Linked DNA regions of Arabidopsis thaliana. The protein of the gene in region 1 purifies or fractionates together with the protein of each later gene. This does not show direct contact. Each region holds a gene or a part of one and is shown on either strand. Other genes may lie near its edges.

Evidence for each region.
Region 2: the proteins of ftsh10 (region 1) and PHB1 purify together in Arabidopsis thaliana (affinity purification with mass spectrometry, with the first as the bait; one study listed by BioGRID). This does not show direct contact.
Region 3: the proteins of ftsh10 (region 1) and PHB3 purify together in Arabidopsis thaliana (affinity purification with mass spectrometry, with the first as the bait; one study listed by BioGRID). This does not show direct contact.
Region 4: the proteins of ftsh10 (region 1) and PHB6 purify together in Arabidopsis thaliana (affinity purification with mass spectrometry, with the first as the bait; one study listed by BioGRID). This does not show direct contact.

Annotation. Positions count from the first base shown.
Region 1 is NC_003070.9:2,301,228-2,308,684, reverse strand, and holds the start of ftsh10 (FTSH protease 10), read right to left. Parts: upstream 4,251-7,457; 5' UTR 3,903-4,250; coding exon of another isoform or gene 3,654-3,902; 5' UTR 2,997-3,653; coding exon 2,946-2,996; intron 2,860-2,945; coding exon 2,628-2,859; intron 2,533-2,627; coding exon 2,464-2,532; intron 2,228-2,463; coding exon 2,094-2,227; intron 1,988-2,093; coding exon 1,505-1,987; intron 1,405-1,504; coding exon 637-1,404; intron 402-636; coding exon 174-401; intron 1-173. Other genes in the region: AT1G07500 (uncharacterized protein), read left to right, coding at 3,654-3,902; RTFL3 (ROTUNDIFOLIA like 3), read left to right, coding at 6,836-7,159; AT1G07485 (uncharacterized protein), read right to left, coding at 6,793-7,020, 7,106-7,180. UniProt on the Arabidopsis thaliana protein: Probable ATP-dependent zinc metallopeptidase. Involved in the assembly and/or stability of the complexes I and V of the mitochondrial oxidative phosphorylation system.
Region 2 is NC_003075.7:14,082,727-14,090,408, forward strand, and holds PHB1 (prohibitin 1), read right to left. Parts: upstream 4,157-7,682; 5' UTR 4,030-4,156; intron 3,655-4,029; 5' UTR 3,647-3,654; coding exon 3,476-3,646; intron 3,232-3,475; coding exon 3,115-3,231; intron 2,997-3,114; coding exon 2,826-2,996; intron 2,738-2,825; coding exon 2,525-2,737; intron 2,439-2,524; coding exon 2,244-2,438; 3' UTR 1,898-2,243; downstream 1-1,897. Other genes in the region: NAC073 (NAC domain containing protein 73), read left to right, coding at 288-437, 524-713, 963-1,540; CRU3 (cruciferin 3), read left to right, coding at 4,870-5,173, 5,299-5,723, 5,829-6,266, 6,484-6,891. UniProt on the Arabidopsis thaliana protein: Prohibitin probably acts as a holdase/unfoldase for the stabilization of newly synthesized mitochondrial proteins.
Region 3 is NC_003076.8:16,313,059-16,320,875, forward strand, and holds PHB3 (prohibitin 3), read right to left. Parts: upstream 4,234-7,817; 5' UTR 3,564-4,233; coding exon 3,252-3,563; intron 3,053-3,251; coding exon 2,531-3,052; 3' UTR 2,513-2,530; intron 2,431-2,512; 3' UTR 1,792-2,430; downstream 1-1,791. Other genes in the region: G6PD6 (glucose-6-phosphate dehydrogenase 6), read left to right, coding at 171-318, 521-616, 723-793, 894-1,009, 1,124-1,169, 1,331-1,498. UniProt on the Arabidopsis thaliana protein: Prohibitin probably acts as a holdase/unfoldase for the stabilization of newly synthesized mitochondrial proteins. Necessary for mitochondrial and cell metabolism and biogenesis.
Region 4 is NC_003071.7:8,839,023-8,846,240, reverse strand, and holds PHB6 (prohibitin 6), read right to left. Parts: upstream 4,270-7,218; 5' UTR 4,193-4,269; intron 4,085-4,192; exon of another isoform or gene 4,033-4,084; intron 3,956-4,032; 5' UTR 3,942-3,955; coding exon 3,777-3,941; intron 3,491-3,776; coding exon 3,374-3,490; intron 3,263-3,373; coding exon 3,092-3,262; intron 2,995-3,091; coding exon 2,782-2,994; intron 2,649-2,781; coding exon 2,454-2,648; 3' UTR 2,219-2,453; downstream 1-2,218. Other genes in the region: AT2G20550 (HSP40/DnaJ peptide-binding protein), read left to right, coding at 1-190; MEF21 (mitochondrial editing factor 21), read right to left, coding at 477-2,081; FLA6 (FASCICLIN-like arabinogalactan 6), read right to left, coding at 4,835-5,578; AT2G20515 (pollen Ole e I family allergen protein), read left to right, coding at 6,646-6,785, 6,873-7,200. UniProt on the Arabidopsis thaliana protein: Prohibitin probably acts as a holdase/unfoldase for the stabilization of newly synthesized mitochondrial proteins.

The DNA.
Region 1 (7,457 bases):
GTTAGAGAACTTTGTAGGTTTATGGGTTTTCAACAATAGACAAAACTTTGGGCTTTGTTTAATGATTTTACGTTTTGGGTTTGGTTGGTCCTTTTGCAACTTTTTGGATTTTTATCACTCTTAACACCACCAGTTCACACCCAGAAGAAGTTGAAGTTGATAGAAAGATTTACCTGTTCAGCTGCCCGGCCCCCGAGAGTCATGCAAGTCATATCAAAGAGTTGTTCTTTTGTCATGAGCAAGTTTTCATTTGGAACATACTGGGCAAATCCGAGCGCTGCTGTGCCACGAGGAACAATAGTCACCTTTAGCAACGGTTCCGCATGTTCCAGGAACCACCCAGCAACCGCATGGCCAGATTCATGATATGCAACTGTACGGCGCTCCAGCTTGCTTATTACCTGCGGTCATGAAACCACCAAAAGAGATTGTAGAACATTCAGGTTTCCGTTGTAGAAAGAAAAAAAAATCGTGCTGATAATATACGTCACCAATTTGTTGGGTTTCAAATTTGAGATTTATCCTAGATTCCTAAGGAGCAGGTTCCAATATAAACGAAAATGAACAAATAATAATATAAAAAACTGGCAATACGCCAAACAGTTGAATTTTGTTGATAAAGGCGAAAGCACATACCCGGTTTTTCTTCTCCAGACCACCAATAACACGATCGATTGCAGAGTCAAAGTGCGCCATTGTAACTGTTGCTCCTTCATGTCTGGCAGCAATAAGAGCCGCCTCGTTACAGACATTCGCAATGTCAGCTCCAGCAAATCCGGGAGTGAGGGCTGCAAGCCTTTGTGAGTAATATGAGGGCTCGTGATCAAGTTTGATCTTCTTCAGGTATATCTGGAATATCTGATCACGGCCTTTAATATCAGGTTTATCTATGGTTATCTGGCGATCAAACCGGCCAGGCCGTAATAAAGCTTTATCAAGAATATCTGGCCTGTTAGTCCCAGCAAGGACGACAACTCCAGCGGTAGTACCAAATCCATCCATTTCAACTAGCAGTTGATTAAGTGTGCTTTCACGCTCATCATTTCCACCAGAGAAACCTCCACGTCCCCTCGCACGGCCAATCGCATCGATCTCATCAATAAATATTATGCTAGGTGCACACTGTCTAGCCTCTTGAAACAAGTTTCTCACTCTGGAAGGTCCAACACCAACAAACATCTCCATGAAATCTGAACCAGATATTGAGAGAAACGGTACAGCTGATTCTCCTGCAGTAGCTTTTGCTAGAAGGGTCTTTCCAGTCCCGGGTGGGCCAACTAAAAGCGCACCTTTTGGGATTTTAGCTCCCAAATCTTCATATTTCTTTGGGTTCTGAAGGAAATGCACAAATTCCATAATTTCTTGTTTAGCCTCCTCGCATCCCGCAACATCTTTAAAATATATCTGGCAAAAAACAAAATAGATCAGTAGTAAATCTCAATAGCATCATGAATTGGAAATGAAGATGGTAATTCAACTTCTCCACCCTGATTGAAATGCTGACCTTATTCTTGGAGTTTTTATCTGCTCTCGTTATTTGAGCTTTCCCTATATTGAAAATTCCACGGCCAGCCTTCCCACCAGGTCCGCCTAAACCTCCCAGTCCACCTTGCATCCGTCTTGCCCCAAAAATTAGCGTAGCCACGAGAAGTAAAGTCGGTGCAAATCTCAATAGTTCCTGGTACCAGATAGTTTCACTGACGTAGGTGACAGGAACAAAGTCATGAGAATTAACGCCTATAGCTTCTTGGGCCTCTTCTAGTTTCTCCTCAAATGATTCAACACTACCAATATTAAAGTAGTACTTATACTGACCACCACGTCCTTTAGCAGGAACTCCATTACCAGGACCTTGAACAACTTCTTCCGTTGTTTGGCTTTTTGGTGAACTCCTCACATAGACTTTTGCGACTTCTTTATTGGAAACATCTATGTGATCCACTAAACCAGCCTCGAGGAGCTTGTTTTTGAACTCCTGGAAACTAATCTGAACCAACAAATATAACACGGATAATTAGTTGACATTCCTCAGGCCCACACGTCTGCAGTTATATAGATAACATGATACACAGAGTATAGTTGGACATGCTTGCCTGTTGCTGTTCTCGGGAACCAAGAGAGAAAGTAGAAAGGATTAAAGCAATGGCCATAAGAGGAATTAACATATTTTGATATTCATTTGAGAACGCGTCCCCAGCATTTTCGTTTTCATTTTTCTTTGAACCATCTGCATCGCAACAAATACATATTCAATTACTACAATCTTCAAACAAACTTTCACAATCCTTTCAAAATGAATAGTTGTCAACAATCCTACAATTGTGTGCCTAATTATCAATTCAATAAGACGATAAAATGATTCCCGAAACTCTCAAATGTATCAACTAGTCTACTCAATTTCTTTTCCATAGTACCAAATGGATTCGACATCCAAAAATACGAGAATGTTACATAAACCGTCACCTCTGGATTCAGATTTCTGCTCATTCTTGGGTGCTTTCTTACTGTCTTTTGGATAGTAGTTCTCATAATCTGCAAAAGAAAAGCAATTTAGGCTTCCAATTCTCTCTCAAATTACTGTGAACACCTAATTTGATCCGTATAAAAATTTAGGGTTTGCTACATACTCTTCTTCTTTGGGGTTTGACTAGAAAAGAACCGACGCAATCTAGGGTTAGCGAAAGCACGGCTTAAATCACCGGCTTCTAGTCCCTTTCGAGCAGCAAAAGAAGCAAAGTGCCGCCTCAAAAACCCTAATCCACCATCCACCTGATTGACGGCCGCCTCGAGATTCTGCGGCGCTCGTAACCTCCCTTGGTTAAATACCGCCGATCTCACACCACCGCCGTACACAAATCCCTAATTTCACCGGAAAATTGAAAAAAATAGGAAATTAAACACAAAATTAACAAGCGTCGGAAAAAAAGCATCACAACGAAACGAACCTTAGAACGTGAGGATCGAGCGAGGGAAGAACCAAGCTTGGAGAATATCATTGTCAGATAATCAGAACGAACAAAAGTGAGCTCGCATAATATATAGAAACCCAAAATCGGAGATCTAATCAAAACCCAAAAGGAGAAAGATGGCAGCTTTGGTTTCAGATAGAGCAAAGTAACAAAATTTTAACAAGTGAAAATGTGGTGATTGAAAAAAATAAAGAGCCCAGAACGAAATTTGTGATTTTTATGGTGTTTGTTGAGGACAACAATTTATGTCACACTTTTGAGCTGCTTGGGAACCAAGACATCAACGCGTTCCAGACTCCAACATATGTTGTTGTTCCGTGGATTATTTCAACCGGTTTAGTCTTTCAACTAAAAACCAACCGGTTATTTATTTCGCAAATCTTTAACGTGGTTAATGGCCTTAGCTCCAGTAAATTCGGGCCCTTGTTTAGCTTAATGGGCTTCGTTTTAACTAAGCCACATTATAAACGAGCATTTGACTCGAGTGGGGTATGTGTGGCAACTATTCCCACCTGAATATAACTACGCTTTAGCACGTGGCAGTACGTTCCTCCACGTGTAAGTTTCTAGACCGCAAGTACCTAGCAACTTCCAGAACAAGCTACGGTCACTTCCAAAACTAGTGTAATAAAGAAGCAATCTAATTAAGAACCTTATTAGGAAAGTGCGAGAGAGCGGACAAAAATGGAGGAGAAAAACTACGACGACGGAGATACGGTGACGGTTGATGATGATTATCAGATGGGATGCACGACGCCTACACGTGATGATTGCCGGATACCAGCATATCCGCCTTGTCCACCTCCGGTGAGAAGGAAGAGATCGCTACTAGGCTTTGGGAAGAAGAGGGAACCACCGAAGAAGGGATATTTTCAGCCGCCGGATCTAGACTTGTTCTTCTCGGTGGTAGCAGCCTCCCAAGCGGCAACCTAGTTGCGCTTAGATTGTGACTCCTCTTTGACTTATATTGTCCCGTTGGTGTGTGTGTATTAGATTGTGACTCCTCTGTGACTTATATTGTCCCGTTGGTGTGTGTGTATATATATTTAGTGTTTCGGCTTCTTTTTTTGGATGTAGTCATGTAGGATACGCAGAACAATGTTTGTATGAACTTTATGTTGAACTAGTTTGGTTTTGAACTTTTGATGTTAATTATTCCTTTTTTGTTTTGTTTGTTTTCTGTCAGGTTGGGAAAAATATAAGTGTTTTTCTATATTTAATATAGAAATGGTCTTTGTATTATTTGTAGTCATGGACGCGTTTTAAGTTTTCATAACCGCTACACTAGTTATTTTCTCTCCAAGAATAAATTGAAAGCTATGTGGGTTAATATGGCATAACGAGGGATGGAAACTCTTAAAGAAAGTCTTCAAGTCCTGGCTTAAAGTTGTGTGGTATACATATCTAGTCCGAGGACCAATACTGATTCAAAATCTGCTTGGTCACTTTGATCATATGGAGCAAATTTTTGCATACCTTATAGTCGAAAACACATTAATCTGTTGAAAGCCGGTTCACCACGACCGGAGAAGAGTGCGACGGTCCATAATTCAATGATATAGTGGGTGGGGGTAAAACATTTTTGTTGAATTGTGGATGCTATAATCTTTTAACATTATTAGAGTGTATATATATAATTTTAGTTATGGTTTAGTTTGGTTAGTATCTTTGGTTAAGTTTTCTTTGTATTTAAGCTTAATCATGTATCACATTTCACTTTAATGAAGATTTCACGATTATTGAAAATTGAAATGGTATTAGAGCCAATTGAAGATTTCACGATTATTGAAAAACATGTTTTTCCATGAACAAATATCGTTAAAGAAAGGAGTCTAGATTTGAAACTTTTGTTGTCCCTTTGTTAAGTACAAAAATTCAAATGTTTGATTGTTTAACTAACGCAAGAGCAAAACAAACAACTTGTCCTAATAACCATGCACATAAATGCTTCCAACCACGCAAATGCGTTTAACGTTATAATCCGACCACATAAACCAGCCAAACTTGGAACAACGGTCACTTTGACCCTCATAAATCAAGCAATTTCGACACCAAAATCTATCATTCCTCTTCACAAGTAACAATGTGTGTACTCATATATACATACTAGAAAACATGATCATCTCTGTGATTAACATGGTGACGTCAACACTAGAAATTAGATTGTGACTGACTTTTAGAGGATGAACTAACATGACAGTTTACCAATTGAAAAAAATGGTAGAAAGTACAACACAATGTTTATTTAGTGTAATTAATGGAGTGAGTTAATTTCGAGAAAGCCATAATTTTTTGAAAACATAAGTGAAAAAAACAAGTGGAATATTATTAGACCAAAGCTGTCTACTCTTGGCCCCGATTTCAAATTATTTATCGTAAGAAACACTTTACCCCCGTCCCTCTCTGCTCCTTTCTCTCCAAACACTCCCAAATGGCCCTCTTACAAAAATATATTAATGTTTTCAAAAATTTTAAAAACTCTTAGAATTGTAGACCACTGATTCATTAAATTGTTTGAGAGACAAGTCCGCTCCTTGAATTTAGACGTTTCTAGACAAATTAGAGACAATGTCTCTTATATTAACATCAACCACTATACCAATGAAAGATAATTTCCATCTTATAAAAAACGTTCAGTTTCGTCTAACCAAAAGATGTAATTTGTCATTTACAAGTAGTTTTATTCAAGGCACAGTGTTTAAGCGGAATACTTGAGTCCCCCCTCTTCTTTCAATTGGATCTTATATATTTAGCCGTAGGCATGATTCCAAAATATATATCTTGCATTTTGTGAAAATGCTTTACTCTTATTGATAAAATAGTATTCCATTGTGATTCCTCTACAAATTTCATTGTGATTCCTGTCCCACTATGTCAGTTTTATTGATAAAATTTATTGTGCTCTCTCACTCATGTGACGGTTGATTTATGTTAACAACGTCGTCCTTGTATAACACCAAAACGTAGTGTGTGCATATAATATATGCGATTACGGGTTACCCACGTCTTACGGTCTATACTGAATTATCTTGAAACATATGTAATCGAATCAAATATAAAATTTCATAGTAATATATGGTAAAGAAATATTCATACAACTCAATGGACTGAAATACAAGAAAATAATTGAGAAGGAAATTAACCTTCGAAGTTTGTTGAAAACTGCTTAACCATGATTATAACATAAAATTTAAGACTAAAACTCAAATTAATTAATGTAGTAAAAAATAATGAATTATATACACTGATCATTTTTCATATCTTTTTTGTACATGATATATGTAGATTCTTTCTTTATCTCTTAAAACTACTAGGGGACAAAAACAATTATAGAATGTTTTCAAGAAAACATGAAATATTTAGCTTTTCTGTCATGAAAACAACTTTATTTTATACAGCTAACTTCATTTGATTTTTTTTTTAACTCAGGTGTATAGAATTTTTTTTCCTAGTACTAAAGTAATTTTCTAATCATTAGTACTATTTTTGAAAAAAGTATAATAAGGTGTAAAACTTTGAGCAGGAGTTCCAATAATTAATCCTAATTACATAATAGTTGCACATTACGCAAAGCCGGGCTAGCTAAGAGTACAATTTAAACTTAAACTATTTCATTCCCTTGCCTTCACCATTTCCACTTAGTAGTTATTTTGGAAGCATTCACTATATAGTAGACATAAGCAGAGAGACACTATCCCTCTCTTTGCTTCCCTTTCTCTCTCTCTCTCCATCTCTCTAGATCACTATCTCTCCTTCTGGCTCAATCACCACAAACTCACAATCAAACTAAAAGTAAAATAAAACCAGAAACCCTCCATCTGAGTCAGAAGCTCTCATTCTCTCCCTCTCTCTTCTGCAACACAAAGATGGACGAGAAGTGGAGGCTGTCGAAAAAGGATGCATTAGCTGCGTCGTGTTCATCTTCTTCAACTTCATCTAAATCCAAGTTCTCTAGAAGCTTCTCCACAAGCGCTTCCTCCTCAAAAGCTCCTGCATTCGTACGGAGCTCATCCACCAAATGCTCAGTGCCTTCATCTTCGTCGTCTTCAATCTCAAGAAGTTCATCGAAAAAAGAGAAAGGGTCAATAACACAAAAGTACAGTAGCTTGGCCAAAGAACAGAAGGGAAGGTTTTACATCATGAGAAGGTGTGTGGCTATGCTTGTATGTTGGCATAAACATGATTCCTAGGTAGATATAGATCTCATGCATTTTTATTCTCTTTTTTTGAATGATTAGATCAGTTTGATTCTCTACTCTAAGTTGCCACAAGTTTCCATACTAGTACATTGTAAGAAGAGATTCTTTTTTGATAATATATTACTATTAATTTTGATAAGACAGAGTCATGTATACAGAGGTATAAATAATTTAAAGTGTGTCGTCTGATGAAGAAAAAAATTGAAAACATCGAACGTTTTTTAAAAAAGTGAAATTATATGCCACAATCTGGAGGGTCGATGTGTCGAGACGTACAATTATTTTGTTA
Region 2 (7,682 bases), on another chromosome or scaffold:
TTTCATGGATAGTACAGAGTTAAAATCAAGTGCAAAAAGGGGCAATTATCTCAGCTTAAAAAAGTGATGAACAAGAATTTAATTCCTTCCTCTTTCTCAAGATAACCTCAAAGAGATCTTCTTATGAAACATATGCTTTAGCTATCTTTAACCCTTTTTCCCTTCTCTCTTTCTATTTCTCCCTCATACCTTTGTTTATTCTGATGAAGTTGTGAGCACTGAAAGAAAAGAAGAGAGGAGAAGAGAGATATGCACAAGAAGAATTAAACTTAGGGACACAAAACAACATGACTTGGTGCAATGACCGTAGCGATGTTCAGACCGTTGAAAGAATCATTCCCTCCCCGGGGGCGGCTGAGTCCCCCGTAGCCTCACTTCCGGTCTCTTGTCACAAAACTTGCCCTTCTTGTGGCCATAACTTCAAGTTTCACGAACAGGTTCTTGTTTCTCTTTCTACCTATATCAAGTTTAAACTTTAGATGATATTGGATATTTGAATATAATATATTAATATGTAATGTAGGCTGGGATCCATGACTTGCCGGGACTTCCTGCTGGAGTAAAATTTGATCCGACGGATCAAGAGGTCTTGGAGCATCTTGAAGGCAAGGTAAGAGATGACGCAAAAAAGCTTCATCCTCTCATTGATGAGTTTATCCGTACCATCGATGGTGAAAACGGCATTTGTTATACCCATCCTGAAAAATTGCCAGGTGATTCTATGTTGCATGTTCAATCATCAATTAATCGGTTACAAATTGAGACTATAGTTACAAATTTTCCGTCTTCAAATGATCTTCTAGTTATGCTTATTGAAAACTACATAAATACGTTGAAAAAACAATTTAATCATATTTTAATACGATGGAAATTGTCATATAGAAAAAGAAAATGTAGCTAATCCAATTTCTTAATTAAATTAAGTTTGATGAATGCTAATTAGTCGTTGAATACATATATAGGAGTGAACAAGGACGGGACGGTGCGTCATTTCTTCCACCGACCGTCGAAGGCATACACGACGGGAACAAGAAAGCGACGTAAAGTCCACACTGATTCTGACGTCGGTGGAGAGACACGGTGGCACAAGACAGGAAAAACACGGCCAGTTCTTGCTGGAGGAAGAGTGAGAGGCTACAAGAAAATCCTAGTGCTCTACACAAACTACGGCAAACAAAAAAAACCCGAGAAGACTAATTGGGTAATGCATCAATATCATCTTGGCACTAGCGAGGAAGAGAAAGAAGGTGAGCTCGTCGTCTCCAAAGTCTTTTACCAGACTCAACCACGTCAATGCGGTGGCTCCGTTGCTGCTGCAGCCACCGCTAAGGACCGACCTTACCTCCACGGCCTCGGTGGAGGTGGTGGCCGCCACCTTCATTACCATCTTCATCATAACAACGGTAACGGTAAGAGCAACGGCAGTGGGGGAACCGCCGGAGCCGGTGAGTATTATCACAATATTCCGGCTATTATCTCGTTCAATCAGACCGGGATACAGAACCACTTGGTTCATGACTCTCAACCTTTTATCCCTTAAAAACAAAATGATTTTATATCAACGATCCTAAAATAAAACAAACGGTATATAATCTAAGCATTATCTTTGATATACACATACATATATACGTTGAAAATAATTTAAAATTTACAGTGCATTCTTGTATTCGTAACTTGTTTTTTGTTTCTCTTAATTCTTTTTTCCTTTTGATTTTACGGCTTTGTACAATTTAAATTCCTTGGACTGAGACTGACCATGAAAAATATGTACAAAGATCTCCATTGGCTATTGACTATTGTTACATGAATTCATTTTGATATCTTGTCGGCTGAGATTTATGGACTCTGTAGCACGTTGTCTACATAAGCGTAAAAACTAAAACAGATAGGAAAATGTTGCCAACATATAGATATACTATCAATATTTACCAATTAATACACATCTTCATGATCAATTTTATACAAAAGGTGTATCGGGACACTGACACTCGTATAAGCAATAACCATGCAAATGCCTATGGTAAATCCAAATGCAAGTGTTTTTCTCCCCCAAACGACAAGTTTATTACAATTAACTCATTCAGCAAGACAGTATCTTCTTTTTCAACTTTCACCTTGAGATAGACTGATCCCAAGAATTTTAAAAGTAGTATTTAGTAGTACAAATCAAGCTTTTGTTCCAACGGATTCTAGGAACTTAAAAGACGAAATGACCCACATGCAGTTTTACTTAAGAAACCTCTCTAGTTCTTTGCATCAACATCCAAATTCATCCCTTGTAGGTTAAGCAAAAGATCGTCTGAGCTCAAGTAAACCTTGTTCGCCGAGTTTGCTATGGTCTGTGCAATCTCTCTTGCAGCCTCGATCTTCCTGAGCGTGATAAACGCTTGGTTGTTTGCAATTGCTTGACCAATGAGCTGAGCACTCTTGGCTTCTCCCTACACAAGCCATGTGAACTTTCGTCACACAACAATTTCGCTCTCAGAGTTTAGATTACAAGTGGAAATGTAGAGAATCTCTTTACCTGGGCGCGGATAACAGCACTTCTCTTGTCTTGTTCGGCCTTCTCAACAATGAACTTAGCCCGCTCAGCCTCTTGAGCCGCCACCTGCTTTGCTTCAATGGCAGCTGTGAACTCCTTCCCGAATGTCAGGTTTGTGATGGACACATCGTCAAGCGCAACATTGAAGTTTGCTGCTCGTTCAGTCAGAATCTTCCTGATCTCCCTACTGACCGCCTGAGAGAAGCCCGGAATAAATCTTTAAGAACTTCACTTACTAAGAAAGAGAAAAAAGATGATCATATATTCACAGTCATTTGTATACCTCTCTCTGAGTAATAAGCTGGCTTGCATTGTACTGAGCAACCACAGCTTTCAAAGTCTCGTTGATTATAGAAGGTAGAACTCTCTCGCTGTAGTTCTCACCAAGGCTTCTGTAGATTTCAGGTAACTGGTCTGCCATGGGACGTGTGAGAACCCTAAGCCCAATTTTCACCTGAAAGTTTTAAAACCACAAAAAACTTAAGAGCTTATGATGTTGAAGCGAACGACTTCACATTCACTAAATTCACAAAACAAAATGACTGAAAATGGGAGGAGTAGAAGCAGAGTACCATCTGAAGATCACGGCTTCCGGATGTACTCTCAACAAGGTAAGGTCGAGCACGAACGTCATAGATGACCGGCCTTTCAAACCAAGGAATCATAAGGTGTGTACCCTCAGGGTAAACCTGCGTAATAACAAGGTTACAAGCTACATACTTGTGAATTAAGAAGACTGTTTTTACGCTCAACGAGAACAACAAAATTTCATGACTAATCAGTCTCAGGGATTAATGAACAACATATGAGACTTTAACTAACAAATCAACCTGGAAAATTTCATCCAAATCTCACAAACAGCAAAAAAACTCATTGGGAAAATACATTTACTGAAAATCCAAAAAGACCCAATTTGAAGAAACACTGACTAACCTTATCTTTAATACCGACTAAACGATTGAACATGATGGCTCGATGTCCTCCTTCAACATTGTAGAGACTGTGCGTAGCACCATAGAGACCAAGCCCACCAATAATCCCAACCTTAAGCAACGTCGAAATGGCACCACCACCTGGTATCTTTGGAACTTTGACGTTGTTCATCTCTTTTTCTGAAACAATCCCAATACATGATTAATCAAAACCCATGTGTGGTGGAAAAACTACACAAACATACACTCAAAATCCAGACTCACATCTACTCAATTATGCAACTTCATCATGAAAACATCAAAAACAGTCAAAGTAACAAAATCAAGTCAGATTCAGCACACAAAGCCAGTAAAGATAGAAAATTTAACGAACGCTCATGCTAAGCTGCGCAAAATACTTCCTAATCAAAACAGTAACAACGAGTAATTAGCAAAATCCGAGCAGAAAACTCTCACCCACCTCCGAAATTCACGTCTTCACTAAAATTTTCGAAAGGAATCGATCAATACCAACCCATTACACAAAATACATAATCAAAATGGCGAGAATCGTACCTGGAAACTTTGCTTCAAGTCGCAGAGAGAGGAAAAGGAAGATCGTGGAGAAAGGGGTTTAGGGTTTAAGCTCAGACTTCTATTGGAGTAAATGGGACGGTGTCACATTTTCCGTTTTGGAAATGAACTTTGGGCTCACGTTATGGGCTATTAGATATTTGATGGGCTTTCTAGTAAATACAATATAAGTTATTGGGCTTAGTTTAAATAAGCCCATGTTGGAAATATTTGACACATGTCTTGGCTACTAGTGCTAAACATGCAACCGAACAGTTGTCGAGACAAGTCGCAGCATATACAATGGATCAAACACGCCTAGTGTCGCCGCGTCTCGCTCATGTGTCACCTTGTTTCCTCGTTTTTTTTTAATTTTTCATAAGTTCTTTTGTTTTATCTTCAATACAAATTTTTGGCTGTATCTTGCAAACTCTTCGATCATATCGCCAATATACGTGAACACTGGTGATCTAATTTGTTGTGTTAATTGTTAAATTTAGATTCTATTCTCCGGTTTAAAAGTGAATTATATGTATCATGGTTAAAACATTGTAAGTAAGATGATAATAAAATGATAAATTTAGTTGATGGATAACGTGAAGCAAAAAATGAGATAGATACATTTGATTTTGTCGTATTTTGACATATGCGGAGAGTGAGCTACGCGCATGAAGATCAAGAGACACTTGCTCGAGCTCACAGAGTGACGTGTAAAAAGCTTAGACTGAAGTCCCCATGCAAACCTAATCCTACGTGGCTCAAACCACGAGCTCACTTGACAATATATAAACTCCTCCTAAGTCCCGTTCTCTTCATCCATCTCTCACAACAAACAAAAAGAAAATGGTTAAGCTCAGCAATCTCCTCGTTGCAACCTTCGGGGTTCTCCTCGTCCTTAACGGCTGCCTTGCGAGGCAGTCACTTGGGGTTCCTCCTCAGCTACAGAACGAGTGTAACCTCGACAACCTAGATGTTCTCCAAGCCACCGAAACTATCAAGAGTGAAGCCGGTCAGATCGAGTACTGGGACCACAACCACCCTCAGCTCCGATGTGTTGGTGTTTCCGTTGCTCGTTATGTAATTGAACAAGGCGGTCTTTACTTGCCCACCTTCTTCACTTCCCCAAAAATTTCCTACGTCGTTCAAGGTTCATACATGATAATTACCCTTCCAATAAAATTAATGTATATATCATGTCTAATTAATGAAGATATAATCGATTCACCATATGATAACTCTTTTTTTTCCTCTCTACCTAAAATTAATTTACAGGAACGGGTATCAGCGGAAGAGTGGTCCCTGGATGTGCCGAGACCTTCATGGACTCGCAGCCGATGCAAGGACAACAACAAGGCCAACCATGGCAAGGACGACAGGGACAACAAGGCCAACCATGGGAAGGACAGGGACAACAGGGACAACAAGGAAGACAAGGCCAACCATGGGAAGGACAGGGACAACAGGGACAACAAGGACGACAGGGACAACAAGGCCAACCATGGGAAGGACAGGGACAGCAGGGACAACAAGGGTTCCGTGACATGCACCAGAAGGTGGAACATGTGAGACGCGGAGACGTCTTTGCCAACACTCCAGGCTCTGCCCACTGGATCTACAACTCAGGAGAACAGCCACTTGTCATCATCGCTCTTCTCGACATCGCCAACTACCAAAACCAACTCGACCGCAACCCTAGAGTAATCTCATACTATATACAAAGACGCACATCCGCTATTAGAAGATCTACCATATCAGTTTAACTAATTCATTTATGTATTGCATTTGTTGATTCTTTGCTATAGGTGTTCCATTTGGCCGGAAACAACCAGCAGGGAGGCTTTGGCGGTTCACAGCAACAACAAGAACAGAAAAACTTGTGGAGCGGGTTCGACGCACAGGTCATAGCTCAAGCATTGAAAATTGACGTTCAGTTGGCTCAGCAGCTTCAGAACCAACAAGACAGCAGAGGAAACATCGTTCGTGTTAAGGGACCTTTCCAGGTCGTGAGGCCACCTCTAAGACAGCCCTACGAGAGCGAGGAGTGGAGACACCCACGTAGCCCACAGGGCAACGGCCTTGAGGAGACTATCTGCAGCATGAGGTCCCACGAGAACATTGACGACCCTGCTCGTGCTGACGTGTACAAGCCCAGCCTAGGTCGCGTGACCAGCGTCAACAGCTATACCTTGCCCATCTTGGAGTATGTCAGGCTCAGTGCCACTCGTGGCGTTCTCCAGGGTGTAAGTACATTTTTCTTAATAAATTAAATATAGATATTAACATTTTTACCAAAAAGAAAAATTAGTCATATCCTAAATTATTTAAGAACGTATACAAATGTTTTAAAAATGAATTTGATAGATATTTATTCCTTTTTTTTTTCTTTAGCAAAACATATTAAAATTGGAAGTTCTATATGACGGATGACGTGTTCACATGTTTTGTCAAATGTTACAGAATGCGATGGTGCTTCCTAAATACAACATGAACGCTAACGAGATCTTGTACTGCACTGGAGGACAAGGAAGGATCCAAGTGGTCAACGACAACGGACAGAACGTGTTGGACCAACAGGTGCAGAAGGGACAGCTCGTGGTCATCCCACAAGGGTTCGCATACGTTGTCCAGTCCCACGGAAACAAGTTCGAGTGGATCTCTTTCAAAACTAATGAAAACGCAATGATCAGCACTTTGGCGGGTAGAACCTCGCTCTTGAGGGCATTGCCATTGGAGGTCATATCAAATGGTTTCCAGATCTCTCCCGAGGAAGCTAGGAAGATCAAGTTCAACACACTTGAGACCACTTTGACCCGCGCTGCCGGTAGGCAACAACAACAGTTGATCGAGGAGATTGTCGAGGCTTAAATCAAAACGTTTTTCTTTTTCTTAATAAAGTATGGTCAGTTTGTAATCACGTCCCTTTACCTTTAACGTACGTGTAAAATATGTGTCTGCGGCACCTCACTTGTAATAACACTTTCTTCTCATAAATAAAAGGGAAGTTTCGAGTTACATACTATAATATAGCGCCAGTTTTTTCGTCTATTCCACAAAACATAAGTTTGTGTCCATCTACTGTAGCTTGAGCTTCGTATATATACTTGGTCTTTATTCTTTTTTTTTTCAAAATACGGCTTTCTGCTTTCTGTGGGCCTAAACGGAGGCCCAAACGAATTAAAGTTCCGTCACTTGGAAACGTTATCCTAGATTACTCTTGCGGGGAAAAGTGTAGATTAGTTCCAATTTTTGAAGTGAAAAATTGTGTTGGATTCTATGTCGTAACAAGAAATAGCATGGCCTCCAAAGATTATTCTCTCTTTCTTTAGGCTTTAGCTTCTAAAGCTAAGCTACGGAAAAACTGTATCATTCTTCTCTTTTTTTTGGCTTATGATCCATATAAGAGAGCTTGGAAGAGCTGCTTTTCATCTCCTGATCACTAGCTCATACAGTTTTTGTAATTTATTAACGAAACTATATAAAAAAAGGGAAGCCGAAAAAACAAAACAAAAAACAACCTTCATCGGCTGCTCAAATGCCAATCATCCCAATTGGTCTCCATTATTGTTTTCTCGTTACTACTCCTCCATCTTTGATTTAATAATTTTTTGAAAAAAGTTTTACTATATGAATGATATTCTCTGTTAGGGAAATATAAA
Region 3 (7,817 bases), on another chromosome or scaffold:
TTTTCGTTGCCTCTTTTATCTGAATTCATATGATTGAGAACCTCACTGTTTGATCTAGTTACATTTTTCTTTAAAAATCTCCTTAGCGAGTTTACATGGATTGGTTGATATTTCCATTTGCATTTTCAGCCAATTAGTCTCTCGTTACTGATTATTTTAGTGAACTTCAGGTGCTTCAATCTGTGGTTCCGATAAGCGATGACGAGGTAGTTCTTGGACAATACGAAGGATATAGGGATGATGATACTGTTCCAAACGACTCAAACACTCCAACATTTGCCACAACAATCCTTCGCATACACAACGAAAGATGGGAAGGTACCATGTCCCACTTCACTCTTCATATTTTCATCTATCAGTTCAGAAACAATCTGGAAATTGACATAAAATATGAAGAAAAAACAGAGGTTTGATGGGTCAACATGATCATAGATAGCATCAATCTTTTGGTTAAAGCATGTGGAACCAAAATCCGACATGTTTGCATGCACATTCTAACGGTCCTGGATATATCTTTCAGGTGTTCCATTTATATTAAAGGCCGGAAAAGCGTTGAATTCAAGGAAGGCAGAAATTCGCATTCAATTCAAGGATGTCCCAGGCGACATATTCAGATGTATTGTCTTGCCCTGACATCGTGTTTTGAATCTTCTTTTAGCTTTTTGAATTTAAATATATGTAAAGACACAATGTATCGCTTTGTCTAAACTCTCTTGCAACAGGTCAAAAGCAAGGAAGGAACGAGTTTGTGATACGCTTGCAACCTTCAGAGGCAATGTACATGAAACTAACTGTAAGTATATGATGAACAAACAAACATAATTTACTAATTACTCTGACCTTGAACCACTACAGTGAACCATAACGCTTTTGGCTATGCTTTTGCTACACAGGTTAAGCAACCAGGTCTAGATATGAATACTGTGCAAAGTGAACTAGACTTGTCGTATGGGCAACGGTATCAAGGTGTCGCTATCCCTGAGGCATACGAGCGCTTAATTCTTGACACGTAAGAAATAAATTTTCTAAATTATATACTACCCCAATAGGCTTTATATATCTAATTGATGCCTTCTGTTCCTTCATGTTATCTTCAACATATTTTCTTTCCATCTCTCTGCAGAATCAAAGGCGATCAACAACATTTCGTTCGTAGAGACGAATTAAAGGTAGAAACATTTTCTAACGCCACCCTTAAACCAAAGCAGTCTCTGAGATCGTTTTTTTGTTACATTACAAATGCTCTAACTATAGACACAATCCAGACACAAACTTTTGCATCATACAATTCAGGAGCTAACATTTGTATCCATTTTGATGATTATTACAGGTTGCGTGGGAGATCTTCACGCCGCTACTCCACAGGATCGACAAAGGAGAAGTAAAGTCAATCCCATACAAACCAGGAAGCCGAGGACCGAAAGAAGCTGATCAGCTACTAGAGAAAGCTGGTTATCTTCAGACTCACGGCTATATCTGGATCCCTCCTACACTATAAAACCCTACATATATATAAATACACAATACATGTATCTACATGTATATGTATAAATTATGCTGAATAGTCCCTCCTCGAGTTTGGTGTTTGTACGTGAAACTTGCTACTTCAGCTGTTCACTTTGACACTTCCTTTGGTCTTGTATTTGCGGCTTTGTAGAAATAAAAATAAAAATCTTACCAATACCATAAATGAATTTAGCTTTTGTTGTGCTCGTTAAATGAATGAAATTGACGATGAGATAGAAAAAATTGCCAAAAAATGTAGAGTTTGTTGATATACACACATAAGTTCAATCTAGAGGTGGTTGAAACACACATTAAGTTCCATCTAGAGTTTGTTGACACAGACACATAAGTTGAGTCTAGGAACCGACGCCGTCTTTACATAGTCATCATTATCATTAGATGACCAAAAAAAAAAAAACTAAAACCGATGGATAAAATGGATCTCGATAGAAAAGGCTATCTTTCATGATTTCTCTTCTTTATTTGCTTTGTTTCTGAACTTGCTCTGTTTATGCAAAAACAATTGAATGTCCATACAGATCGAAATTTGACGTAGACTATCGACAGTTTATGCAAAATAGGTACCATCTAGATAATCCAGATGTGACCATAGTTTATCCGCATAGAACAACACTCCTAGGTACCATCTGTATTTTCTTTTCTCACGCATGTGTAACAAACAAATTACTTACAGTTCAGCCAAAATCATTTATTTGTTGAGAATTAGATAAACATGATGCTGAAAACAAAGATTCTTCAGGTAGAGTAAATTTTGCCGAGATTCAGAACACAATAATGACAACTCAAACAACTAGTTTCTTTTTCTTCTTCAGAGTTCATCAAAACAAAAGAGCATTTCACCTTTTTGATTCAATCAGATTCACAACTTGATCATTAAAATATCGCAAAATGCTCCCAAACAACCTGCACATAACCATAATACAAAGCCTTCAGACAAATCACAAAACGACTTAATTCTATGGATTCAGATGAAGCTTTTACATACCATCATATCTGATCAAGATCAACGGTTCAGGGCAAAGAGCATGCTCTGGCCACCGGGTAAGTAGGCCACATTAGGAGACCTAGCAAGTGTAGACGCAATCTCCCTTGAAGCTTCAATCCTCCTAAGCTCGATAAGTCCCATACCAGCTTTAGCCGTAGCATCAGAAATCAACTGAGCAGCTTCACTTTCACCTTCAGCTCTTATAACCGCAGCTCTCCTCTCTTGATCAGCCTTCATCACAACAAACTTAGACCTCTCTGCCTCTTGCTGAGCCACTTGTTTCTGCTCAACAGCCCTTGAAAACTCCACACCATAGGACAAATGCGTGATAGCTACATCATCAAGCACAATGTTGAAGTCCTTCGCACGGGTGATTAGTGACTCCCGAACAAGTGCTGAGACGTGAGGACGCTCAGTGAGAAGCTGGTCAGCGTTGAACTGTGCAACCACAGCTTTCAAAACCTCATTTCCAATCGAAGGAAGAACCTTCTCGTCATACTCTAGACCCAAAGTTTGGAAGATGTACGGGAGACGCGACACCTTCACAACAATTCACATCACATAAACACACCAAATTAATAACGATTCTACAATACCTAGTCCTCGAAACAAATTTTGAAAATCATAGATCATCAAAACCCTAAACCCTAAATCCAATTCGCAAATGAATCTGAAAAACCTCAATTCAGAGAAATCAAACGAGTCTAGATCAAAAATGAAGAACCGTTATGCGTTATACCTCAGGACGAGAGAGAACACGAAGAGTGAGATTAACCATCTGGAGATCCTTAGTACCAGAGATTGAAGAGAACGTGTGAGGCTTCGTGCGGATATCGAAGATGTGAGGCCTCTGAAGAATCGGGATCAAGAAATGAGTCCCTTCACCCACAGTCTGATCCATCACTCCCCTGAATCGATCGAAGATAACAGCTCTTTCTCCGCCGTCAACGGTGAAAAGCGATGTATTCAGCACCGTCGCCGCCGTTCCAAGACCGAAAGCAGCCTTCGCCAAATTGGAAAGGAACGAAACAGCCGCTTGTTGGCTTCCCATTTTTGCGTGTGGATTATCTTGAATCGAGAGAGAAGAAGAAGGAAGAAGAGATTTGAGACGACGAGAGAGGAAAGAGTTTCTGCTAGGGTTTATGATATGTTTCTGGAACCTACCACGGGAAATGATTTAATGGGCCAAGTAACTTAGCCCAATATTATTATGTGACTATATAAGCCTATTAAGAACTAAATTCAATAATGGGTTTCATGACATTGGGCTGAAAACAGCTTAACGGTTACAGAGTATGTTTAATATCTTTTTGTCTCATAAATTATGTTTCTCTCAATTTTTTTTATTTTTTTTTTACTGAAAGATAGATTATAGATAGAGTTTACAAAGTTAAAGCTGACGATTAACAAGATAATCTCAAAAACTAAGTCGACGGATAACAAAAATCCTCGGAGACTAAAGCCCAAAAGTATGGGAAGCTAACAAACATTACTTTAAATGCATAAGAAAATAGAAACTGAACCATGGAAAATCAAAAACTATAACCAGAATCTAGCACATGAGACATTGCCCACCATCAATCCAAGATAAAGAAAAGCTTGCAGAAATGGCTAAACGACGGGGAAATTCTAATCCACAGCATCAAGATAGCAGCTCTTCTTATAACAAATGAAGACTACCTCACAGTTCAAAAACAGCATCCCAACCAGCAAGAAGAAACCAAATATAAAACAGCAAAATCGAGGCAATGAAAACCAAGATCGGTCAACGCCAATAGTTTATCTCAATTTGTTTAATCAAATAAAAATTGAAGAATATACCTACTTGGACATTTGTATGGTGTTAAGGGCCTACTATAAAAGTATTAGATTAGTACAAGCCAACGGTAGTGAACAAAAATATTCTTCGAGCTACTTGACAAACACGAAGTTGAATAAGGATAACTACTTTTTCGTATAAGAAAAATATTTACATGTGAGCATGATTAATCCTTTTCAAATATAACGGCAGGGGACGTTGTTGTTGAGTTTTTCCAGTATAAAAAGTGTTTTTTTTTCCTTAAAAGAAAAGTTGTGAAACAATGATATCTATTTTTGAAAACTTTTTGTGACTATTTTTTGACCAACAAACAGTATACGCGAATACTTTTCTATTCGGTTAAGTGGGATTTGAAGACAGATGTACACGAGTATTAAAACTGAATCTGAAAGCATGTAAATCTCCAAATATTTTATCCGTAAAATTGTTATGTATCTTCGACCAAAAAAATATAGAGATATTATGTATCACTTAATTAATATGACTCAATTAAGTCGTCTCGAATACTAAGAAAATTATGGAGTTTTACTTGGAAGGTCACACAGTGACCTCACCACGTTATCGAAAATGTCAAATGTTTCGGTGTCGAATCTTATACAGGTTTGAAAATAACCTTTAAAATAGATTTATATTACAGAAAAGTCCTTCAATATTGATTTTCAATTAAAATATTGCAGAGAAATCTTTAATTTCAAAAACTAAACGCCAACTTCAAAGATTGAGCTAAATTCGATTCTTTCAACATTTTGACTCCAACCGGATATATATGTAGTCATCAATATTATCGAAACAGGTAAAAGAAACAACCCAAGTGAAGGAAACATGAATCTTTGATAACCAATTAGAGTGAGAAGTGTATAATTGTAAAATAAACAAACTGAAACTAATATTAATATATATATATATAATTATATATATACTACTACTACTATACTAGGTTATTTTGTCAAATATATATATATGGTACATGACAACAATAATAAGAAACAATTTACACTTTTGTGTTTGCTCATCAAGAAATTTGGAACAAAGTCCAACTAATCTTGGGATAGATCGACCAAAACAAAACGTTCACTTGGTTTTTAATCGGTCAGAAAGAATATGTTTAGGCTAAACATTGAATCGAATTATCATCTGACCACCAATGGTAGATCAATAAAAAGTATTGATGTGTTTTTATCTAGCTAGTGAAAAAATTTTAGAATTGCCATTTACTTAAATATGAGACTCATTACATATAATGCAAATATTCTTTAGTCTAAGCTATAATGGATGCTCATTTGTTGTTTAGTGCACATAATTTTCCTCCACCAATGGCCAGTATTTGTTTACAAACTAGTATAAGATAATGTAAGCTAATTATCACATACATGATGTCACGTTGATACACTAAATTATAAAAATTATAATTTAGTGTCAAAGTGCAGATCGAAACTATAGCTAATTGGTGGTGTTGAAATTATTCATACCTTAGTAATAATTATAAAATCAATTGATTGTAATCTAATAGTTTCGTTGACCATATACAACGAAGATGAAATAGATTGACGAGTAAATAAAAATAAATTTGCAATCTGGTGGAGATAAATTTCATCCTTAACCTACAACACTAGGTGACACGTAACAATTAAACCGAGTCAACTGATTATTTCTTTGAAGAAAACTTCCTCTCGTGTACAGCTTCCGAGATGCTTCACTGGAGGCATTAACTACTTTGATCATTTGATTTTTGTTTGCACAATCACTAAATGCAGATACAAACATGCCCGCGCTGAACTATATTACATAAGCATGTATCTCTCATTCGATGCGGAGATACAGACGGAACACTCGAGTTGCCAATTGCGGTTTAGTCTACACGCTTCTATTGAAATAAACATAACAAGTCTAAGATTATGAGCTTACGACATTGGACAACATCCATATAAAACTCCTGTAAACTGTAATTAGGTTATTTAAACCAGTAATTCATATATATAGGATATTTAGTGAGTTGCTTCTTTGAACAACGTATCTCTTTTTTTATTTTTGTCTACTATATTTTCATAAAGTTTTACATGAGATAGATTCATCTTGCGTTTAATCTATTTATATGGTATTAGTATTTATACGCTAATTTGTTCGTCTATTTTTCTCTTTTTTGGAAAAAATTCGAACTTCATCAGTTGACTCATTAAATAACTTTCCCAACAGAGTTTTACTTTACACGTTTTTTCTTCAATCCCAATAAATTCCACACACAAAAACCTAACTATAAAACAGTTTTGACTTTTAAACATTTCAATAACATTTTCTAATCATTGTTATTATTATCATAAGCCATAACATGTCATCACATAAATGCTCACATGCATAACGACGAGATAAATCGAGAGTAAAAATATTCTTTGTGCATATAGGAGTTGTTCGGAATCGGATAATGATGAATTTAGTTAGAATTAAGGACTCATCATACAAATAACATTCATCACTATACCTTTTTTTTTCTTTTTTTTTTTCATCACTATACCTATTTGCTTGAAATTTTTAACTAATTAATCTTATGATGATACCTTAATTTTTTCAACCATGTTGATGAATCCGTATATAAATATTTTATTTTACACATCTTCTTAGTTTCTATAGTTTTTCTTTTTTGGGGCAACTAGTTTCTATAGTATTTTAATTCAAGAATTAATATGGAAATCGTCGTAAAACATTATTCCAACTAATTAAATAACAATAACAAAATATAAGTCAATGGAAGAAAGCCACTTGACCGAAAAGCAGGAACATGACAAGATAGAAAATGACAAAATAAATAATTTTAAGAAAATAGAGATTGTTAGAACATAGAAGTGAACCATACACTTCATTATCTCTTCTTTTCATTGACTCTATCATTTTCTCAAAAGTCTTCATTTGGTGCATTTCTACGAACTTTCCTAGCTCCTTCACATTTAAACACTAGCAACAATGAATTAAATTTTATGTACAAACTAAAAGCAGAACATTAATAGTGGAAATTGAACAATGACCATATTTTGTTTTCGAAATATTTTTAAAACATTGCCAAGAAGAAATGAGAAACGGAGACATCTGATACTTTTGATATTTAACGAATAATTAATACTCCTATGATGTGCGTAACCAAAAGATCATTTGCTACAAACAAAACTATTATCACAGAGTCATAGATAAAATTATTGACTTTAAAGGTTGCGTAAAACCATCAAATACGCACACAGAGGCATATTTTTGGTTGTCTCACCGAGACAATAGTTTTTTTGTTTTTATTATCATATTTAACTTTTAAAAAACGAAAATATAAATTTGTAGTCTTGTAGAGATCATAAACAATATATAAATGGTTTAGTCAGAAGACTCAATAGTTTGAACAGAAATATAATATTTCCCTGTTTTGAGATTTACATAAGATGACGTTTTGAGAGTGCACAAAATATCAATAATGGACTGTTTGGCTACAAGTTTGCGGCGGTCAACGCT
Region 4 (7,218 bases), on another chromosome or scaffold:
TGGTCGGAGACTGACCATCCCAGTCAACACTGTGATCCATCCCGAGTATGTGGAAGTGGTTCCAAATGAAGGAATGCCGTTGCAGAAAGACCAGGCTAAGAAAGGCAACTTGAGGATCAAATTTAACATCAAGTTCCCTACAACGTTAACCTCAGAGCAGAAGACAGGATTGAAGAAACTTCTCGGATGAATGGAGTTAAAATCAGCCCAGTCCAGTTAAAATCAGCCCAGTCCAGACAAAACAATGTAGAATACGAGAGGAAGTATCAAAGCTCCTATATATTGTGATTAAATACTGTTGTGGCCTTTCTGATCGATTTGTAGCATATGTATGAATGAGTACTGTTGTGACCTTTATGATCGATTTGTAACGTATGTATAATTAAATACTGTTGTATATTTCTGATCGATTTGTAACATATGTATGATTGAAGACGCCTAATAAGTTTGCTACTTCTTCTATAATCCAAACGCTTCTAAACTATGCCTATAAATGCAAGAGCATTGTTGTTTGTAATCACATCCTGATCTTGATGTGAAGTAAACAACTGCAGCACTATAGATATCTCAGTCCAAAAAGGTTTACTGTTATCTCCTGAAACGAATTCCTGAACAATGTTGTTCACTTCTATCAAACTACCACCTGGCGTTTTCTTCATATTTTCGTTCCTTATCATCTTTCTCAATCTCGAAACATCCTCCCATTTTCCCAAATCTGCGTAAATATTGGCAAGCAAAACATAATTTCCCATATCCTCCGGCTCTAGCTCCACAAGATGATCCATTGCAACCAGAGCAACATCAAGATTGCCTGGTGTTCTGCAAGAGCTCAACAATGAACCCCATATCTTCGAGTCGGGTTTCATCGGCATTGTCTTTGTTATTTCAACAGCTCGTTCTAGTTTTCCTGCTCTTGCCAAAACATCAATCAAACAGCCATAGTGTTCGATCTTAGGTTCTATTTGATAATCTTGTCTCATCATATCAAAATACCTCAACCCTTCTTGCCACATACCAACATGTGAACAAGCTGATAAAAGACCAAGAAATGTGATCCCGTTAGGCTTCACCTTCGCTCTCTGCATTTCATTGAATGTTTCGATTGCTCCGTGAGCGTTCCCGTGATATGCATACCCAGAGATCATCGTACTCCATGATATAACATCTTTCCCTTCCATTTGGCCAAACAATTGGATAGCTTGACTAATCACACCACATTTCGAGTACATTTCAATAAGAGCATTGCAAACACCAGTTTGTTTCAGAAACCCTCTTCTCTCTGCATATAGATGGATCCATTTCCCAAGCTCTAGAGATCCGAGCTGCGCACACGACGGTAAAACAGAAATGAGACTGATCTCATCAGGCTCAATACCAGCTAACTGCATTTCACGGAAGAAATCCATAGCCTCTACATAACAACCAATCCCAGTATACCCAGAGATCATCGCAGTCCAAGATACAATAGTTTTATCTAGCATCAAATGAAACAAGCCTTTTGCTTTCTTCATCTGCCCAAGCCTTGCATATCCAGAAAGCAAACTATTCCAAGATATAACATCTCTCTCATACATTTCATCAAACACTTTATGTGCATCAACAAGATCATCAAACTTCATGTACATATCAATCAATGCATTCTCAGTCACAACATGGAACCTAGGCCCGAATTTGCAGAGATGACCATGAACTTGCTTCCCTAAATAACATGATCCAAGACTCGCACAAGATTTAAACATAAACGGGAAAGTGAACCGATCTGGTAACTCAAAGCTCTTCCTGAGCAGTTGCTTGTAGATTCTGATCACATCGCAGTACAATGAATTGTGAGTATAAGCACGAATTATAGAATTGTATAAGAAGACATTAGGATTCGATACTTGGTTAAAAAGACGAGTTGCATAATCCATATCTTCAATCTTATCACAAAAATCCACCATTTTAGTGACCATGAAGCTGCTTTGTGATAATCCATGTATGATGATGGAGGCATTGATCTTCTTCCATTCATTGCGGCTTTTGACTCGCTGTAGAAAAGGTATAAAATAGTTTTCAACTTCTCTGATTCCATGAAACGCCATTAAAGCTAGATTAGGAAGCTCGTGGTGGTGGAATCAAATTGGCTCCGACCTAACGTCGTTAAACCCAGATGTGTGTCTCTCGGGGTTCACCAAACTTAGGCCAAAAGCCCAATTCTCATTTTCAGGCCCATTTGTTTGATCTTTTTCACAGCCTATTTTCCAGCTTTGTGAACATCATTATTACCAAATGTAAACAACTTGTAAAAACATAAATCTTTTCTTTTCTTCTTGATCTCACAAAAGAAAGACTACAAACGCACGATAGTGTCTGAAATTCACAAGATAGAACTCATAGCTTTTGGTCTAAGAATCCGTGAATTGAAAATACGATTATGGAAGAAGAGCTCTGGTGTGGTTTAATCATATCATTCTCTACTTCTTCGGCTTCACATCAAGGTCCATAGCCTGTAGGTTAAGCAACAGATCGTTAGAGCTCAAGTAAACCTTGTTCGCCGACCTAGAGATGGTCTGTGCGATCTCTCTAGCTGCTTCGATCTTCCTCAGTGTTAAGAACGCTTGGTTGTTTGCGATTGCTTGACCAATGAGCTGAGCACTCTTGGCTTCTCCCTACATAAACCCATGCAGAAACATCAGTTAGCAAGCTTTAAAATAGTTCACAACAAAAAAGAAAAAAAAAAGCAAGCTTTAACACAATCTCCGGTTTTTAAAATGCTAGAAAAGAGAGAAACACTTTTCACACCTCGGCGCGGATAACAGCACTTCTCTTGTCCTGTTCAGCTTTCTCGACAATGAACTTAGCCCGTTCGGCCTCTTGAGCAGCGACCTGCTTTCCTTCTATGGCTGCCGTGAACTCCTTTCCGAATGTCAAGCCTGTGATGGACACATCATCCAGTGCAATGTGGAAGTTTGCGGCTCTTAGAGTTAGGATTTTCCTGATTTCTCTACTCACCGACTTGAAAAACACCAAAAAAACATATATCCATTAAAAGGGACATCAATTTACCATTGAAGAGGAATCAATAAAATGTATTTACAGCCAGTTGGCTAACCTCTCTCTGAGTAATAAGTTGGCTTGCGTTGTACTGAGCAACCACAGCTTTCAAGGTCTCGTGGATGATAGAAGGCAAGACTCTCTCGCGGTAATTCTCACCAAGGGACCGGTATACCTCTGGTAATTGGTCAGCCATAGGACGGGTGAGAACCCGAAGCCCAATCTTAACCTGAATGTTTAAATACCACACAACATAAGCTTATCATGTAGTTCACACGACAAAACCACACGACCTGATTATACCCATTAGTATTAGAAGTGATGAAATGAAGCGGAATACCATCTGGAGATCACGGCTCCCAGATGTGCTCTCAACTAGATAAGGCTTTGCACGAACGTCATAGATGATTGGCCTTTCGAACCATGGAATCATAAGGTGAGTACCCTCAGGGTAGACCTACATAATCAAGCAAGCAAAGATATACTATTAATGGCGCATCAAGATGACTTTTGTAAACGACTATCAAAACTAGACTAAGAAATCAACCTTGTTTACTTAAGCTAGATGCGGCAAACACAAGATTCACTACTAACGGTAAGCCTAACCTAACGTGAGCTATATGCCGCAAACATAAGATTCACTAGTAATGCTAAGCCTAACCTAACTTCAGCTAGATGTCACAACCACAAGATTCATTGTCAATATACAGATTCAGAAGAAACCAATTTTTGCAGGGACTAACCTTGTCTTTGATACCAACAAGCCGGTTAAAGACAATGGCTCGATGACCTCCATCGACATTGTAGAGAGTGTGCGTAGCACCGTAAAGACTGAGCCCCCCAATAACCACCGCAGCTATAACACCACCACCAGGACCTTTGGGAACTTTGACATTCTTAAAATTCATCTTTTCACGAACACCTGCAAATTTGGAACCCAATCAAAATCCAAGGCAGAAACAGATAAATAGAGAAACGAAATGCGTTTGTAGATTAGACCCAAGGAAAACTTGGATCAACGAAAAAGAGACAAAGATAATCTGCAAATTAGCTGAAACGAAACAAAAACTTAGATCACAAAATTGAAGCCGAAGAATCTGAAGCTTTACTCGCTTAAACTAAGAATTCGATCTATAATGAAAATGGCGAGAGGAAGTACCTGAAAATTCTGGAAATGGCGTGGAGAAGAGAGAAGAGAGGGGTTAGGGTTTAAAGCTCAGAAATCAGGATTTTGTTGACGCTTTGGTCGATCACGCATTTTCTGTTACTAGAGATCTTTGGGCCCAAAATTTGTATTCAGGCCCATTAGTGAATTCACTAATTTATTTATTTTTCTTAATATATTTTTTTTTTAGTAAACGATTTTTATTTATTTTTCTTAATATATAAACGGCCATATTTGACATTTCCTTACTTTCTATACAAAAGAAATAATTCTCATTTTGATTAATAGATAGTAGATTAATTATTATCACTTTTCAAAAATGTAACTTTCAAACCCATATTTTGTTGCAAACTGCAAAGGCTCTAAACTTCTTGATGATTTACTACTAAACCTAAATGAAATTTCTTAACTTATATAAAGTGAGATATAGATGATGTGGTTATTTTGTTGATAACTTACTTTGGTTCAAAATTGGTCATCATTTAATAATACATGTATTTAAATTCAAAAAAATAATACATGTATTTTTATAAAGGAAATTTCAAAAAAGAAATATCAAGGCATAGATGAATCAAATCAATCATGCAAATAAATGTTTGTTTTTCGGGAACGTTTCCCTCGCTTTTAGTTAAAGGTTCAAGCAATATATATAACCGAGCAACAAAACAATGCAAAGCTAACAACAATCCCTAGACTTGTCCTCTTCACGCTTGATCCGGCAGATTTGTGCTCATCATCAGCAGCTGGAGAATCGGCATCAGACGATGAAGTTGAGGATTTCGGGGCAGGAGCTCCGGTGGGAGTGGTCTTTGTTCCGAATAACTCCTCCGGCAACAACACACTGTCCACCACGTAAACTGCTAGAGGAAACTGTTGCCTTAATGCATTATTGATCCGAGTCTCAACAACACCGGTGGAAACATTCACTTGGTTGCTTTGTGCTTGTCCTGTGAAATTTAACCCAAAAACACCTCCGTCTTGTCCCGTAGCCTGAGTTCTAACGGGATTACTTGCTAAGAGAAGATCGCTTAGAGAGTAGTATTTTGGAATGATATGGTAGAGCATGAGCTGGATTTGTTGTTGATATGTCAGACTGTTTAGGGTTCCGGGTTTAAGCTTGTTGAATGCGTTATCTGTTGGGGCAAATATAGTCATCCCTTGGTCAGAGCTATTGAGTTGTACACTTACCTGAAACCCGACTTGAGTTGTGTTGAGGAGTTGTATTAATGTGGTAAATTGGTGACCAGCTTCAAGAATCGCTGTGAGATTGATGGGACTTTTTTCAGTGGTTGGAGCTGGAGCAGTGGGCTGGCTTTGAATGTATGGGATGGTGAAAAGGAAGATTAAGAGGACAACATAAGAGAATAGTGACGAGGACATGGCTTAAAATTTGTTATATTTTTCTCTATCTCTCTGTGTGTGCTTGTGCTAGAGCTAACCCTTTAGGTATTATATAGAAAGATTTTAAGGAGAGATTTAAGACGACATGTATGCGTGACTTGCAAAAGAAGTTGATCCATTGTTTTTAACAACTTAGTCTACATTTTACGATAATGTTTATAATTAAGAAATGCAAAACAATACTATAAGAAGGTTGACAAAATGTATATATATATATAGAATTGTATCCCACATCCGATAAGATCATAAGAGATTTGTAGGGCAATATATATCGTATATAGTATACAAACTCATGGTTCACCAGTTAGATTACACAACAACAAAAACAACTTGAAAATGTTAGCTGGTCATGGTTCATGAATATCTTTACATTTTTCTGTATTTAAAATGATGTGGATACGTGTATATAGTCGAATATAGTCTGGCATTGATAGGCAACGTGGGGGTCATATATATTATAACAACGAAACTGCTCTACATGACATTGGCATGGGCAAAATTTGGGCTGGAACTGGAAAAATCCTCGTAGGGCATGACTATAAGAAAAGGCCCATTAAAAACATGAAAAATTAACAAAGTTGGAATCATAATCGACTGACGAAACTAATCTGTTAAAATTATGTGACTTTCTTAATACAAAATAGCGTTGTACTGGTTTAGGATTAAAATCGTTCGGACCTCTTGTGGCCTTGTGGGCACATGGTGCGCCGTGCGTAGCTCACGTGAGGACTGACGATGACATGCAGCAAAAATAATAAAAAGAATACGTATTTAGCAGCAGATTCAGACAAACTCATGTGCGTTTCAAAAATGACGTTTATATCCCCCTAATAATTATATTCACTCTATCCACTTTGACAAAAAGATCACGTTAATTTGAATTCTAAGGGTAAAAGCGTCAAAGTATGTCTCTTTTTCCGAGGTAATAGCAATAGGCAACTAGAGGAGACCGATAACTCAAGCAAACTCAGATTCTTGATAGCGATTTAATGAAGACCCAAGAGTCCCAAGACCAAGGGCTGATTAATTAATGCTGTTTTAACCATATGCATATCATGGACACACTTTGTTCTCCGAGTCGACTCGTTCTGGTCACCTTCTTCCTCCTCTGCTTCTTTGCCGGAGATTCATCGGCGACGAGGCCTGGTTTCATCTACACCAGACACAGAGGACGATGCACGCCGCAGTAAATCAATCAATCTTGAATTTCATTTTCTTTACAAAAATCTTTAGCTGAGTCATATCTCAACTCGTTGGTGGTGTTTTTGAGCAGGTATTGGAGCAGCCAGAGGGAAGCATGGCCGAGGATGGTACCTGAGAGATCAACCGTGGAGAAAATATTCGGAGTGATGGTAGCAAAAGAACGGTGGAGATCTGATCTAACGCTAGTGGAATCAACGGCTAGGAATGACGAAGAAGGGAACGCGTACGGTGCATTGCTGAAACAGGGGATCGCAGCTCTGATCAACTCTTACGCGAGAAAAAGTTTCTCTTATGCACCATGGGAAGTGAAGACGATGCTGATCCAAGCCATGGTTTCGGAGTCGGCGGCTCGCCGGCAAGCCGAACATTTCGCCGTCGCTAACGTTGCTTGTGACTAAAAACACTGAGACAGTTAC